Tribolium castaneum: one gene and its partner. The protein of the gene in region 1 binds, or shares a complex with, the protein of each later gene. Links are inferred from orthologs where the notes say so. Each region holds a gene or a part of one and is shown on either strand. Other genes may lie near its edges.

Region 1 (7,757 bases):
ATAAATACTTAAGCTAAAATCGTGTTTGCGTAAAGATAATTAGGTATATTGCTCAAAGAAAACAGAACTTTGGACATAATAATGTATTTGGTTAATACTAATCTTATTTGCTTAATAAAAAATGTGGTAATCATGTGAATGTTATGTATGTAATTTTTATAAAATACATTAGGTAATACCTAACTATTGTTTTTATATTTACATCACTAAAAATAATGGTTGTTTGTCTAGACAAGTTGTTAAACAGATTTTAAATTAATATAAAATGTACGTTTAAGGAAGATTCACATTTTTTTTAGAGTGGGGGCAATGTGTTTCAAATTTAGAATTAAAGAAAAATTAAATGAAATAAACATTTTGTAATAAAAATAAATAAATAAATAACTCAAAAGCGATTTCTATTAAAGTGGTTTGGTATAAAAAAAAACATTACTAATAACAAAAAATTTTTGAAAGTAATTAATTAATAATAATTATTATAAGGATTGGTTTACAGAAAGCAAATTAAAAATTAATCCAAAATTAAACTAATTCGATTTTTTATGTCTTTTATAATGCTTGCAAACTGTATTTGGACTTCCAAAAATTGTATGTACTTAGTAATAAGGGTACAATAATGTAGAAATTGTTTCTTTTTAATTCATGCAGAACACAGAAGCTATCGATAAATACCAAATTTTCTTCACAAGATGAGAACCTAGTTTAGGGAGAAAAGGCTCAATTATTTTGTATGTGAATAAAATTAAGAAAAACGGTAGAAGAAAAATGACACGAAGTAATAGTATTGTATGTTCGTAATAATTATACCTATTGATAACAAAAACAATCCTCTTGTTGTGTTTTGTTCCGATAACAGATAAATTATTGCTAGAGCTAAAAGAAAAAACGAAATATTGATAAAATCGGTTTAAATAACAATTTTGTAGATATTGATAAGATTCCGCGCCTGATTAGGCACAAATGCAACACAAAATACACTCCACAAACCATACATTCTGATTTTATATCTGTTTGTTAATTTTTTTCTTTATGAAATTTGCCGAACTTGAAATTTCAGTGAGGTAACAGGGGTAATACTTTTTTTTAACTGTTTGTCTGTTACTTTTACTCCCCATTTCTAACACAACTAGTTGTGAGTGTAGGTAATGCAATGAAATAAAACGAGGTTTTAACTCAATAATTTAATAGTCATTGAAAATATGGTAATTACACAAATTGTCTCCTAAAATTAAGCATGGAATGGTTACAAAAGAATCTCATTATAGGCATCTGTGCGTAAAGTAGTACCACCCAATTCTAGTACAACTTATGTAAAAATACACTTTATACATGATAAAAATTCTGATAAAATTATATTCCACAAACGATAAATTTACAAAATAAGTATAGAGAAAACAACAAAATGCAATAACTGAACAGACACGGTTTATACACGATAGGAATTGAGCCTTTGAGGGAAGCCTAGCCTACGCCATCCGAATGGACTGGATAATCTGGAAAATCGCCGATCCGCACACGACGAAGATGAACAGCGCCAAGATCATGGGCCCCACTGGCGAGTTTTCGCTTTGCTGCTTCTGCAAAAGGGGCACCGTCAGCTCCCCATCAACAAACAATATGGTCCAGCGTACTCACCGACGATTTGGGCACATTCCCTCGCAAGACCACGTTCTTGCTGGCCTTTTCGTTGGCGAAACGCATCCGCTGTTTGGGAGCCATCGTTCACAGGAAAAAAATACGGAAAAGTGGAAATAATTCAACAGAAAAACATACACACGCGTTTTTGACACGTCCGTGCCTCGACACTGGCCCGAAAAGTGCGGAGAGGGGCAAGGGAGGCGCTTTTTTGACGTTTATTTGACACGTAAGATGAAAATGCGCATGCGCCACGGACGCGTGGAGAATTTCAAACAAGGGAGGGAGTGCTAGAAATTTCCAATGGGTTCATTCAATTTGCAATAATTTATGATAATCAAGTATATGCCTAGTTTTCTTGGTCATTTTCCTATCTTCTATGCATTTTTTTCAAACATCAAAAACAACGTTGAATTTGACTTTTTACCCTGATTTTTAACTCAGATTTTTCAAAAAACAAAAATTTTAAGGTGCATTTATTTCGGCACAAATTTTACATAGATATTGTAAAGGTTTCGTTACTTTTTTGTCAGTATTTTATGCGGTAAATTATGGGAACGTCGTTGAAAGTTACGGATCTTCTGGGTGTGTTTGCGGGAGCGATTCGGTTCGTAATTAAGGACAAGCGTCTCAGACTGTTTCTGAAACTATTCATTCTTGAAAAAGTCCTTTCATTCATGGCATTGGCATTAGCCATGTTGTTGAGGAGCTTTAGCGACATTTCAGGGATTTTCAAAGAGTGGACTTCGGGATTATTATCCAGCCAAGTCAATAATTGTTTCATAACTTTCACCTGTTGGTCAGGAGTGACCTAAAGAAGGATAATTGCACGTTTAATTGCAACAATTAAATTGTACCTTTGTTAGGGCTTGTCGAATTAAGAATTCATCTTTCGTCGACATCCAAATAACGGGAGTTCTTTTGCTGCAAAGCCACATGTAGTTTGATTTCCCAAAAATACTTTCCGCACATTTAATTTGTTGAGCGTGCATTAAAATTTGCACCTAGGGAGAAGAAACAAATAAATTAAAACGATTTAAATGAGTGACACCTCACCTGTTCTATGAACTGTGAGTTCATATCGAAATGTGAGACAAAAAGAACTCTTTAAGCGCATAATGAACGAGACGTGCGGTAATAATATTGCCTTTATTAAAAGATAAGCAAACAAATTTTCACGTATGAAGTGGATATGCAAATAAACGAATAGATTCGGGCTGATATGAATTTTATTACAATGTGGCTAGGTATGGAATAATTTAGATTGACGTTGTTTGAGAGTTGATAACATCTTACAACGCACGCAATTATTTATTATCTCTGAGGATTCACCCAGCAAGTCAAAATAATCGAATACGGTTCTGCAGTGTTAGGCGCTTGTATAATGTGTTGCCTAAACATGTAGTCGGCCAAACATAACCTACCGTTATTATCCCATTCAAATAACCACAAAATAATGTTTTCGCCTGAAAAATAACCGTGGACACGATGGGCGAGCCACTAACAAACGTCCTAACCGACATTCTCAAAGTTGAAGGCATCGAAGAAGCCTTTAGTTGCTTTCTAGTGCACCGCCCCAGTGCCGAAAAGGAAAAGGTGGCTGTATGGCAACAAGAGTTGAACACAGCCCTGCGGAGCATCCCCCAGGAGCAGCTAGACACCGCCCTTCGCCAGTACCTCAACACTGCTGTACTATGTTCCCAAAGCAAGCTCCAGCTCTTGATGGAGCTCCTGGAAAGTGTCGTGCGCAACGGTACCATTGGGGCCCGTATCGTGTGTGAGGTGGTGATGAATTTCGATAAACTACAACACACCAATGCGCGGTTCTGGATCGAGTGCTTTAAACTCGTGCGGAAAATTATAGATTTGGTTGAATACAAGGGCGTTCGCGAAATTATGAAAGTAAGTGGGGAATTGTTGTGGTAATTGTTTGATTGTTGATTGTAGGGATGTTGCGAGAAGGCGAAAAGTCTCCCCTGGCGCTTGAACGCGGGCTTGCAGCCCCAAACCCAGGCTCTTTTAAGCGTCGCTGAACGAATCATGGACAGGAACGCGTGCCTCCTGCCTGGCTATCTCCTAGTGAACGAGCTCCAGAAGGCCTACCCTGACTGCCCCCACTGGCGCCTTGCTGCCCTCTTCTCCGATTACGTTGGCAGTTTTCGGGCCTGTGCCCAAATGGTGGCTATCGTAGGCCAGGCGGAAATGCGGCCAGTTGTGGAGCACAGCGGCTGTCCCGAACACTTGGTCAATCCCTGGAAACTTGACCCGTGCACGTTGCGATTCTCGCTTAAGGGCACTTTACCGTACGCTCCCGAATTACTAGAGAAGCAAACCGGTTTATTACGATACGTTCTGGAACAGCCGTACAGTCGCGACATGGTGTGTGGCATGTTAGGGTTGCAGAAACAGCACAAGAGACACTGTGCCGCCCTTGAGGAACAACTGGTCGAGTTGGTGATTTTGGCGCTGGAACGCACGGAAAATGAGGGCGATGAGAGCGCCACTCAAGGGTTATGGCTGCACTTGTCGTCCCAGTTAATTTATTTTGTTCTTTTCCAATTTGCGAGTTTCCCAAACATTGTTATATCGTTGCATTCGAGACTGCAAGGGCGCGACTTGCGGAGAGGGCGCGACCAACTCATGTGGGTCCTCTTGCAGTTTATTTCCGGTTCGATTCAGAAGAACCCCCTCTCGAATTTCCTCCCAGTTTTGCGGCTTTACGAACTGTTGTTTCCGGAACAGGAGCCCCCTTTGCCCGTTCCGGACTTCAACCAGCCCCAGTGTACGAGACAGATGGCAATGACGTGCATTTGGATCCACTTGACTAAGAAAGCGCAAGCCGAAATGACCAACTTGACTTGGCCAATTCCCGCCAAACTACGCAACCATCATGATTTCCTCCAACAGTTGGTGCCCCCTAATAACACCGTGTTAGCGATGGGAAATGACTACAGAATCGCCTTGTTGTGCAACGCCTACTCAACGAACCCCGATTATTACAGTAAGCCAATGGCAGCGCTAGTTGAGACGATCCAAGGGAGCCCCAAATCAACAGCCCCACCTACCGCGCCTTTAAGCATGGCCGTCTTGGACTCATTAACTGTGCATTCGAAAATGAGCTTAATCCATAGTATTGTCACACACGTGATTAAACTAGCACAGGCCAAGTTAGGAATGCCACTATCACCAGCTTTGGTGGAAACGTACAGTCGCCTGTTGGTGTACACCGAGATCGAATCGTTGGGCATCAAAGGGTTCATAAGCCAGTTGTTGCCAACCGTATACAAGTCACACGCTTGGGGCACCCTTTACACACTTCTGGAGATGTTTAGTTATCGGATGCACCACATCCACCCCCACTACCGTGTCCAGTTACTCAGCCACTTGCATTCGTTGGCAGCGGTGCCGCAAGCCAACCAAACCCAACTGCACTTATGTGTCGAATCGACCGCTTTGCGTCTAATCACGGGGCTGGGCAGTGGCGAAGTTCAGCCCGAACTGAGCCGCTTTTTAGCCGAACCCAAGACGTTAATTTCGGCGGAATCGGAAGAGTTGAATCGGGCGCTGGTTTTGACCCTAGCTAGGGCCACGCACGTGACGGGGGCCGACGGCTCGTGGTGTCACGAGTTGCTGGCGACCATTGCACAAAGTACCCCCCATGCGTGGGCCCCCCACACCCTCGAATGCTTCCCCAGGGCTCTGGCCGAGTTTTTCACGCAACATGCCGTCCCTAAAGAAAACAAACAACAATTGAAGAAAGCAGTGGAGGAGGAGTACCGGAAGTGGTCGTCCATGAACAACGAAAATGACATGATGGCGCATTTTGGGGTTGCGGGAGCGCCCCCACTTTTCCTCTGTTTGTTGTGGAAAATGCTCCTCGAGACTGATCACATCACGCCAATTGCCTACAAAATCCTGGAGAGGATTGGGGCAAGGGCGCTTTCGGCCCACTTGAGGAAGTTTTGTGATTGTCTCGTGTTCGAGTTTAGTAACAGTCCTGGGGGGCAACATGTTAACAAATGCGTGGATACGATCAATGACATGATCTGGAAGTACAATATTGTGACAATCGATCGGTTGGTCTTGTGTTTGGCGCTGCGGACGCAGGAAGGGAGCGAGGCTCAAGTCTGTTCGTTCATCATCCAGTTGGTGTTGCTTAAAGCTACAGAGTTTAGGAATCGGGTGCAGGATTTCGTCAAAGACAACTCGCCCGATCATTGGAACCAGACCAACTGGCACGAGAAACACTTGGAGTTTCACCGGAAATACCCCGAGAAGTTTGCCCCCGAGGAACAGTCAAGTGGTTACCACCCCTATTTTGGCAACGTGTGTTTGCGCTTTTTGCCGGTTTTTGATATAGTGGTGCACCGGTTTTTGGAAATACCGCAAGTCACCAAAAGTTTGGAGATTCTGTTAGAACACTTGGGTTGTTTGTACAAGTTTCATGACCGTCCGGTCACTTATTTGTACAACACTTTGCACTATTACGAGACTAGGCTTAGGGACCGTCCACCTTTGAAACGACGGTTGGTGGCTGCTGTCTTAGGGACACTCAAAGACAGTCTTTCGGAGCCCTACCAACTGTACCTCGGACGAGCTGCTGACGAGATGTGGACCCCCGAACTGGACTATTACATACAAGTGGTCAAGCGAGTCGTTGATATTCTAGGGGGCGCCACTGCCAATTCCGTAATTGATTGGCGGTTCAATGAGTTCCCAAACGCCGGGGCTCATATTCTTTACACCAGCTGTGTGGAACTGATGGCGTTGTCCGCCGGTCCGGTGGCCGTAGCCAACGGTTTGCTAGACGTCGTGGCCAAAGGCTATGTCACAATTCCCTCGTCAGACATCCACCAGTGGGTCAATGCTGTTGGTTTAATTCTGGCAGCGCTTCCAGTTAGCTACTGGAGTGTTCTACACGATCGACTTGTGGCCACGTTAAACGAGCTAGAAACGTGGAATTTTGACTGTTCTCCCTTCCGTTTGTTCGATTTCAAAGAAACCCACGCTGGGCTTTTGCATAATAATTTTAGTTATATGCTAGCTTTGGCTCATTCGGTTTGGCATCACGCTGGTCCGGGGCAGATCGCCAGTGTGCCCCGATGGGCGCGTGAGTGTTTACCGGCTGTGGTACGGTCCGAAGAACAGTTTCTCTATGTTTGTCATCTTGTGGGGCCCTTTTTGCAACGGTTTAACGTGGCAATAGTGGAATTGACGAGTGCTTTGTACGAACTGTTGGCACAAGTTGACCACGCGCACAGCGAGTTGAAATATATGGACCCGATCTGCGATCTCTTGTACCACATTAAGTACATGTTTGTGGGGGATAGCATGAAGAAGGAGTTGGAGACTGTGGTGCGCCGGTTAAGACCGCCTTTGCAAATGAGGTTGAGGTTTATCGCACATTTGGCGATTGAGGAAGTTAATGCATCGTAACTCACTTGTATTATGTTTTTACATTTACGTAAATACATTTTTATAAAAAAATAAAAAACTTAATCCGATTCACTCTCCCTTGAACTTGGAAAATCCGGTTTCGCTAAAACAGTTTGTTATTTAATTGGTAACATTTCGTCGTTACATACCTTGTTTGGCCAATTCTTGCTGTTTTTGCTCATTTTCTATATATTTGGTCTGTTCGGCAATCACCGATTGGCTGTCGCTACAATTTGAATATACCTCCAATATATTTTTATTCAGTTCGATAAATGAATGTCCCCACGAAAATTTATCTAAATACTGCCGAGCTAATTTTTTGTATCCGGTGATGTACAAAGTTGCGGCTATCGCTTCAACGCAACTTAATTGGCAAGGTCGCCCGTAATTGATGGGGTTTGCGGCCACGAGAAACGGTAATAAGCGCCCATGTTGGGGCTTGAGTGCTGCAATGGGTGTCTCGTCGATTCTGGCCCATGAGCAGTCCACCACGGCTACCCCCTTGCTTGAAACAATGTCGCGATCATTGGGACTTACGCATTTAGTGCCAGTCGGGGTTAATACCAGCCCTGGAAATTTTTGTTTGACTTTTAGGGTTTTAATTAATTTTAGACGCGATAATTTGCGGCCTGAACATTTCTTGGGGTCACATTGATTAAAATCCCACATGGCAATGGGAAAGTCGG
Region 2 (7,792 bases), on another chromosome or scaffold:
ATTTAAAACCAACCCTGATTAAGTGTCAAGCTTGCAAATAAACTTGACTCTTCCATTTAAAAACGAAAAATAAAATTTCATAAGTCACTTACGATATGTTTTTGTTTTTTCCGAAGCCGGCCTTGAAGCAATATCTTCATGATCCGTGTCTGTATCATCAATAGGCTCAACCACATCCACCATATTCAACGCCAAACTCCCATTTCTCAGATTTTCGCTGTTTTGCAACAAAGGAGACAGTTTTTCAGCATCACTGTCTTCATCACCATTTTCATCTTTTTCAGACTTCTCATTAACGTGTTTAACTGCATCGTGGATGCGGTGCTTCAGACGCGGACTTGAAATTTTCTGCTCAAGGAGGGGACATTTGGGGGTCTCCTTAGTGTCCTCCTCCACACGAGTCGTCATCAAAACCCCATACTAAAAAAAAACCAAATCACAGCAAACTTACAGAAACCTATAATTTGGAACAAACCTCAGGAGTCGTAGGGTCCGACCCCTTGCTCTTCAGTGGCGTGCGATCAGCACTGCGGTTTAAAATCTGGGCAGCTTGAATGGCATGCTCACTTTCGGGAGTCTCGACCAAGTCGGGCATTGCCGATGGGGGCTGTCGGGGAATACACGGACCGTTCAAGGCCTCAATCAGCGAAACTGCCTCGTAACCTGGCGGGATATTATCGCAACTTCCCTAAAATTGTGCAGTTAGTTTGTCTTGCACGAAATAAAAATAAATTTATTACGTCTGGTGGATTGATTTGAGCCAGATTCGGGTTGGCGCACTTTTGCAATGCCCGAATTTGTAAAAGCGCCCGGAAGGGGGCGCGACAAATCGGGCAATTATTTGCTTGATAACGGAGCGAGTCAGCGCATGAATTACACAAACACAGGTGGCGGCAAGGTAGGATCAGAGTGTCTCGAACGTCGCACATGCAAATAACGCATTCCGAACCGTTATCTTCAGTCTCGTCGTCGCCGGATTGCTAGAAAACGTGGTATTTAATACGCAATGTGCTGGGCAGTTTGTAATCTAATTAACAACACTAGTTTACAATTTTTTTTTCTGCTTACTCACTGTTAACTATTTTCCTATCTAGTTTTTCTAGTATATTCATTGAAAGTTTTGAAAATTTGTTTCTGGTGTTTAGTTTGGCATTCGTTGTTTCTGTAATAAACTAACTGTTAAACATTTAATTTGCTGTAAAATATTATCAAGTGAATGTAGATTAAGCCCAAACAACTTTTTTTTGTTTGCGGTAAAATTATCCAAATAAAACCTGAAAAACTTAAGCGATCAAATGGTTAACGTTGTCATCAAGATTTAAAGTCTTATGAAAAGGGGAATACCAAGGTTTTGCACTGACACTAATCAGTACAAAAAAAAAAGAAAAAATCTGTGTCATAATTAATTTTTCAAAAGCTCTGAATCCATCTTTTTTGTGGTGTCTTTGGCATTCATTATTTGTGTGATTAACAAATTCTTAAATATTTTATTTGCTTTAAACAACGTTTTTTATTTTAAGTTTAATTTTTTCTAACAAAACCTGAGACGCTTAAGCAATGAACATGGTAAATGTTTCCATCAAGATTTAAAGTCTTATGAAAAAAAATATTTTTAGGATAAAAATATGTTATTCGTTTACTACTAGTCTACATTACGATAAACTGACCTTGATAGTACAAAAGAAAAAGCATTCTGTAACATTTTTGAAGTTGCAAAAATCGTCAAATACTGATACTTTATAATGAATATTAAAAAAACTTGCCGTTCTAATTTTTTTTTGACTTCGGTATCAGGACTAATTATTCTACAGATAAACATTGGTTTTATCTATTGGTAAAAAACGTTGTAAACTAGTGTAATTAATGCAGTGAAATCCCCCTTAACGGACAACTCCTATAAGCGGACTTCTGTGACAGACGGACAATTTTGTTGACCCCGTTTTGAGCTAATTTACTTTAAATGGAATTGCTTTTCTTTTAAGCGGACGCTCCAATAAACGGACGCAGACAATGCAAATCAGATCCTTGAACACAAAATCTCGCCTTCAAGCAGACAGCATGTTAATTATGACAATTCGTCAGAAAAAAAAGAATACATGTTTTATTCAATAGTAAACTGATTTAGATTCTGGCCTCAGAAGAGGTTTTAAAGTTATGTGTATTATTTATTGTGGCTTAGTGCCAACAAAATTGTCCGTTTGTGAGAGAGTTCCGCTTATAGGTGTCCGTTAAGAGAGATTTCACTGTGTATTTATGCCCAGTAGGGCATGTAAATAATCAATCACCTTGTCGTTATTTTTGTTCTCAATGCCGTATATTTCCTGCAGGAGGTAGCAAAGACCGTCAACGAATAATTTCTGTTTGAGAGCTTTTAAAACATAAGTACCGTCGGACAATTTTTCGGCTGTGGCGATAGTTGTGTGTGATTGTCTCATTTCTGGAACAATCAATTCAAAAATTAAATTCAAAAACGGGTCAAACCAACCCTCAGCGCCTTCCTCCGCCACACAGTGAATGGCAATTGGAATAATCTCCCGGTCAACATCATACAACAACTCCTCTTCTGTGTACTTCGAGGGATCAAAAACGTGAGTCATTTGGCAAAACTGTTGGTTCGCACCGCGTTTGTAATGAAAAGTCTCGGAGGTCGTGTTAGGGTCACGCGGCAAGTACCTTCAAACCCCATAAAATTGCAAACCCATGACAAAAACCCAACTTACGTGACTCCACTTGGTGTAAACTCCTCGGTACAAAAATAGTAGATTGTTATTGCACACCTGACGTCACAATCGAACGTGAACTCGATATTAAACGTCGAGCTCTTGCCCAGCTCAATATCCCTGATGTCCCGCTCGTTCTTTTCCGCCGGTTTGGAATAATCAGCAGGGGCGCGGACAAACCGCAGCGACTCTTTCCGGATGTTCACCAGACTTTTGAGCGTTTTTGTGGGCTCATTAGGCTGGGGCGGGGGGTAGGGAAACTAGAAACGGCACTGTGGGGGCGAAACAACCGCATAATGGCTACTTACAGGGGTTGGTCTACTGCCCAGGAAATTCAAATCGGAGTTCTCGCCGAAGAGGTAAGACTCGGGCTGGGGGGTGTCGAAGCGCTCGCCCCCCATTATAAAGTGGCTCCCGAAGTAGTTCCCTTCAGAAAAACGCCTTCAAGGTAATTGGTACGGAAAAAAGCAAAGCGACATACCAGACCTGGGCGGGTACTTGTACGCGTGGTTTGACACCACGTCCACTTCCTCGACCCCTGCGTGTTGTCTGCTAGCCAACGAACCCATTCTGCGGGCTTGAAATTGCCAAGTTTTTCCAAAATCAGAAATTATTGTTGTTTTTAGTTTGACATTATTATTGACACTTGTGACATTTGAGGCGTCGTCGCCAACACCAGGGACACAAAATCCCTGAGTGAATGTGTCAGAAAATTCATGTGGGAAAGAAAATTCAATGAAAATTCAGGAAATGCCTTGCTATGATGGAATCTGACGAGCACAACCAGGAGTCAGAGAGGAATGTCACGGTGGAAAATTTGAATATCGAGATCTTGCCCATTATCTACGAAATAATACGCAGGTTTGTTGATAAAATTAGTGACAGGCAAAATCGTAATGTCTTGCATAATCATTCAGTGTTGAGAAAGACCACCACGATAACACCGCCAAGGCACGAGAGTCGCAAGACTGTTCCCAGAAGGTGCTCGAGTTGCAAAAACGTTTGGACCAAGCCAGAGCCGAGGTAACTTTCTTCCACCCTAATCACTTCATACCCATAGTAGGGGATACGAATTAGGATCATACTGTACTATCTTCTGGTTACCGGATGAAAATATCTTTTTATCAGAGATAATATCCAAAGTCCAAAGGATTGTATCGCGAATAGGTTTCCTAAAAAAAATGTTCCAGGCCATGGTAAAGGGGGCTAAAAAGCGTCGAATTTTAGCCTTTTTTCAGTATTTTACAACTGAAGGCTACAGGGGAAAAACAACCTCAGTCCACTTGTTTGAGAAAATGAGGTGGGGTTGTAATATTGTAGTTTTTGAGAAAACAATCAGATAATTGAAGCGGGAAATAGCAAATACGACTTCAGTATTGAGCAAAATATGTTACAAATTACACTATAATGAAAAAAGTTATGGTTCCACGTTAGAAAACTTTAAGGATATAATTATTTTTTAGCTCACTGCAATCAAGAAAATAAAAAAAGTTAAGAGGCTTGTTAAAATTTGAATAACTTTAAACTTAAATGAAATACCGTATTTTTTATTTTTGCATCTAAAAGACCTTTAAATTGTCTATTAAAGAACATTAACAGTTAAGTGCTGATTACTCAAAAGATTATACTTAACTTAAAACATTAAAAAAAGTCATTAAAAATTATTCACAATTGTTTCAATAGTCGAAGAGTAAAATTTTCAGCTAATAATAACTTTATTATTTTTCAGTTATTTTTCACAGTAAAATAACTAAAATTTTCTTATCTATGGCGAATTTTTAAATCCCTGTTTAAACTCCAACAAATGATCCGTGGTGAAGTTGCTAAGGTTATGGTAACAGTAATCCTCATGAATAATCTGCATTGTTGATGAAATTAAATTTTAAAGTCAAATATTTGTTTAATTATAAAGGTTAGGCATTTGAAACTTTGTTTTTAAGTAGACAATTTAATAATCTTTGAAAAATAAAAACAAAAACTTTTATTATGTTATTCAACTTTTAACAAACTTCATAATTTTTCTACGTTCCTAATTGCATGCGTTAACCAATTTAACTTTGAACATTCTTAAAAAAATAAGTTTGTATTGTAGCTAATTTCGGAAATATCCTATACAGGATGATTCAAAAATGTTCGACAAACACTCGTATGGTGATAAAAGACGTTCAGTTAAGCACAAAAATGAAGTCAGATTTTTTTATATATTTTTAAGTTTGTATTCCTTAGCAACGGTATCGATTGTTTCTCTTTTGTTTCCTAATATGTTGAATTTAAGATATTGTCGAATTTACAAGTTTTTTTATTGTTTTGCACATAATTAGACATTATTTGTTAATTTTTTTCAACAGGTATTTGTTTAATGTTGCAAGAGATGTCGTTTCTGCTAATTAAGGTCAAAAAAATATGGTCCGAAGCATCAAAAAATTAACTTAAAAATTTAACTTTGAAGAGCTGTAGCTATCTCGTGAAAAAAGACTCAAACAATTTTTTGTCATAGGAACTTTTAATTCAGTTTGATGTCCTTTATCAGCACCCGAGAGATTGTACGAGTACTTTTGAATTACTCTGTATATTTGAAAGTAGTTTTAGATGAGGCAGGTGATTAGTATCTACAACTTAAGGAAAAATAATAATAATAAAAACCCGTTATATGTACGAATAAACAGGTGGTTTCAAATGAACAGCAAAGTTGCTGTTCTCTGCTCTTCCACTTAAACCTTTCAAACAAGAAGAAATATACAGCAAATGAATAAAGACAAAATAAAAAAAAATTGACATAACAAACCAGTACAAAATAACCAGTAGATTCCCATGACTGTCCTTGTTCGGAAAATTATTTGTCAAATATTGCAGCCTTGAAACTATAAGAAGATTCAATTTCTAGAACTGTCGATGGATGCTATTATAATCTTTAGCTACATTAAAAAAGGGACTTTTAAAAGAGACTTGTGCGACTTACGGTAACATTATGTATGTCACGACGGAAGATTATTTCATCAGTGGGACTTGGAAGTAACTATTTTGTGATATAAATAAAGTCCAAGTTTTGTTAATTTGATTTTTATATAGCATGGTCGCCTCACGTCCACTTTCAATTATTTGATCTTTATTTTTTTAAGTTTTCATTTTTTCTTGTTAATTTTCAATACTTTACACAATCATGCAAAATTCGATTGTCTAATTTCAACACTTTTAAATTTGTGTTTGTTAAATAATATTACATTGTTGAAAATGAACCTAGAATGATTCAAAGTGAAAAAACTTGAAAAACTTTATTTATACTCCTTCCTCAAAAGCCCAAGTATGTTGGAATTTCCTGATGCCATAGGCAAACCGGAGACAAGAATTCTGAACCAATTACTTTTCTAACAATTAAAGATAAATAATGGACTTTACCTACTCGCATTTTTGATAAAATAAGCTTCATCCGTTAAACAGATGAGTGCAGAACGACCGTAATTCGAATCTTAGACTACCAACCCCTTGCAGATCCGGCTATTGCCCGGGATTGAGTACAGCAAAGAGCAGCAACTGGACCACTTGGAGGCCCTCAAGACGCAGCTGAAACTCAAGCAAGAGCTCCTGCGCAAATACCGCTACATGTACTCGTTTGAAGTCCCCAAATAACAGCATGGTGTTTCGCCTCCTGATCCGCTTGCTTGCAAACAACGAACAGTTGGTGCAAAGACTGAGCGAATCGTACCCTATGCGCAAAGCGGCGCAGGTCGTAGTGCGAGCTGTCTACCACGGCAAGAATCTCATCGAGGAGCGGGGTCTTGACAAGCGGCTATCGCCCGAGGAGTTCCGCGCTTTGATGAAGCGAATCGCCCAGAATTTGCAAGGACAGATCAAGCAAGCCAGTGACGAGTTCAAACACAAAATGAAATAGACGCCATGGCGACCGTGATTTTCGTCGGCTCCCCGGAGAAAAGTCCGAAAAGTTGCGCCCAAAAATTCAAGTCGTTGTTCCTCGTGCCGCCACACGATGTGATTTTTCGGGTTTTTGCCGCGTTCGTGCCGCCGGTTTCCAAAAAGTATCAGAAGGTTTACGTTGATTTGCAAGGGCCGGTCTTGGCCCTTGTTCTATTGGCTGCTTTGCTAAATTATGGCTACTCGTTTAAACCACGCAATACGTTTCGCTCGCCGACCGAAACCGTCGTTATTTACAGCTTAACTATGCCGCTGTTGGCGTTTTTCGTGTGCAAAATCGGGCGTTCGTGTATCACTCTATCGGAAATGACCTCTCTAATCGGGTACGGCTTATACGGCCACATTTTCACACTGTTTGTTTCGTTTTTACTGTTTGAGGAAGCCAGCAATTTTTTCTTCTTCGTGTGTTTGATCGTCTTTGGCGGGCTAAGCACGCTGCGAATTGCCTTGGTTGTTTTGGGGACTTTGTTCGTACCAGCGGCACGACTATTGATTTGTTCGCTTATCTCGATTTGTAATATCTTGTTTGTGATTTTTCTACATTTTGCCTACATGCATCGGACTTTTATCTCGTAGGAAATTAACAAAGGATTGTTACATAAAAACTCTAATAAAATAAATTACTTTATTTCTGCCTTTTTCTCACTCGGACTTAGTTAAAAACGAAAGAATTTGCGCGATTATTGCACTTTTGTCGAATTGAGGTTTGAAATCGAATTGATGTTAGTCTCAGTGAGAGGTTTTGCGGTGTTTGAGTTGGCATTATTGTTTTTACCACGACCTCCGCGCCTACCTCGACCTTTCCTCGAGCCGGATTTTTGGCCACTGTGCTCACGCTTATCGGTACTTCCCTCAAACGTTGTCTCCCCAACGGCGGTACCAATCTCTGAAAACTAAAAAACACCAGTTGTTCAAAAGTTAAATTATCTAAATTTGCTAAGAAAAAAAAAATGATACGACTTAGAAAACACTATACTTATGGTAGCGCTCAGCTCTATTTGCGTGTGCGTCATCTGACATTTCTGTCACTACGTTTACATAGCAGGGGCATAGCGCTGACAAACTATCAAATATTTTTTGAGGTTACGAAGTGTTTAAATTAAAAAAATACAAAAAATATATTATTCACAAAACAAGAACTA

What was found. Proteins that work in one complex are often made in the same cells at the same time.
Region 2: MED23 (region 1) and MED9 share a complex: the UniProt entries of both Drosophila melanogaster proteins name them as parts of the mediator complex. The link is inferred for Tribolium castaneum from reciprocal best matches to the Drosophila melanogaster genes MED23 and MED9.

Annotation. Positions count from the first base shown.
Region 1 is NC_087394.1:35,201,971-35,209,727, reverse strand, and holds MED23 (mediator of RNA polymerase II transcription subunit 23), read left to right. Parts: upstream 1-3,123; coding exon 3,124-3,537; exon of another isoform or gene 3,538-3,582; coding exon 3,583-7,071; 3' UTR 7,072-7,130; downstream 7,131-7,757. Other genes in the region: stress-associated endoplasmic reticulum protein 2, read right to left, coding at 1,467-1,577, 1,636-1,719; uncharacterized protein LOC658853, read right to left, coding at 7,131-7,174, 7,221-7,757. UniProt on the Drosophila melanogaster protein: Component of the Mediator complex, a coactivator involved in the regulated transcription of nearly all RNA polymerase II-dependent genes.
Region 2 is NC_087395.1:15,955,131-15,962,922, reverse strand, and holds MED9 (mediator of RNA polymerase II transcription subunit 9), read left to right. Parts: upstream 1-3,439; 5' UTR 3,440-3,480; coding exon 3,481-3,581; intron 3,582-3,637; coding exon 3,638-3,743; intron 3,744-6,209; coding exon 6,210-6,347; 3' UTR 6,348-6,351; coding exon of another isoform or gene 6,352-6,609; 3' UTR 6,610-6,614; coding exon of another isoform or gene 6,615-7,226; 3' UTR 7,227-7,278; downstream 7,279-7,792. Other genes in the region: Mrgn1 (E3 ubiquitin-protein ligase MGRN1), read right to left, coding at 93-420, 476-688, 741-980, 2,286-2,437, 2,486-2,673, 2,721-2,980, 3,029-3,161, 3,207-3,289; protein NCBP2AS2 homolog, read left to right, coding at 6,352-6,609; protein YIPF3-like, read left to right, coding at 6,615-7,226; Dgp-1 (GTP-binding protein 1), read right to left, coding at 7,331-7,543. UniProt on the Drosophila melanogaster protein: Component of the Mediator complex, a coactivator involved in the regulated transcription of nearly all RNA polymerase II-dependent genes.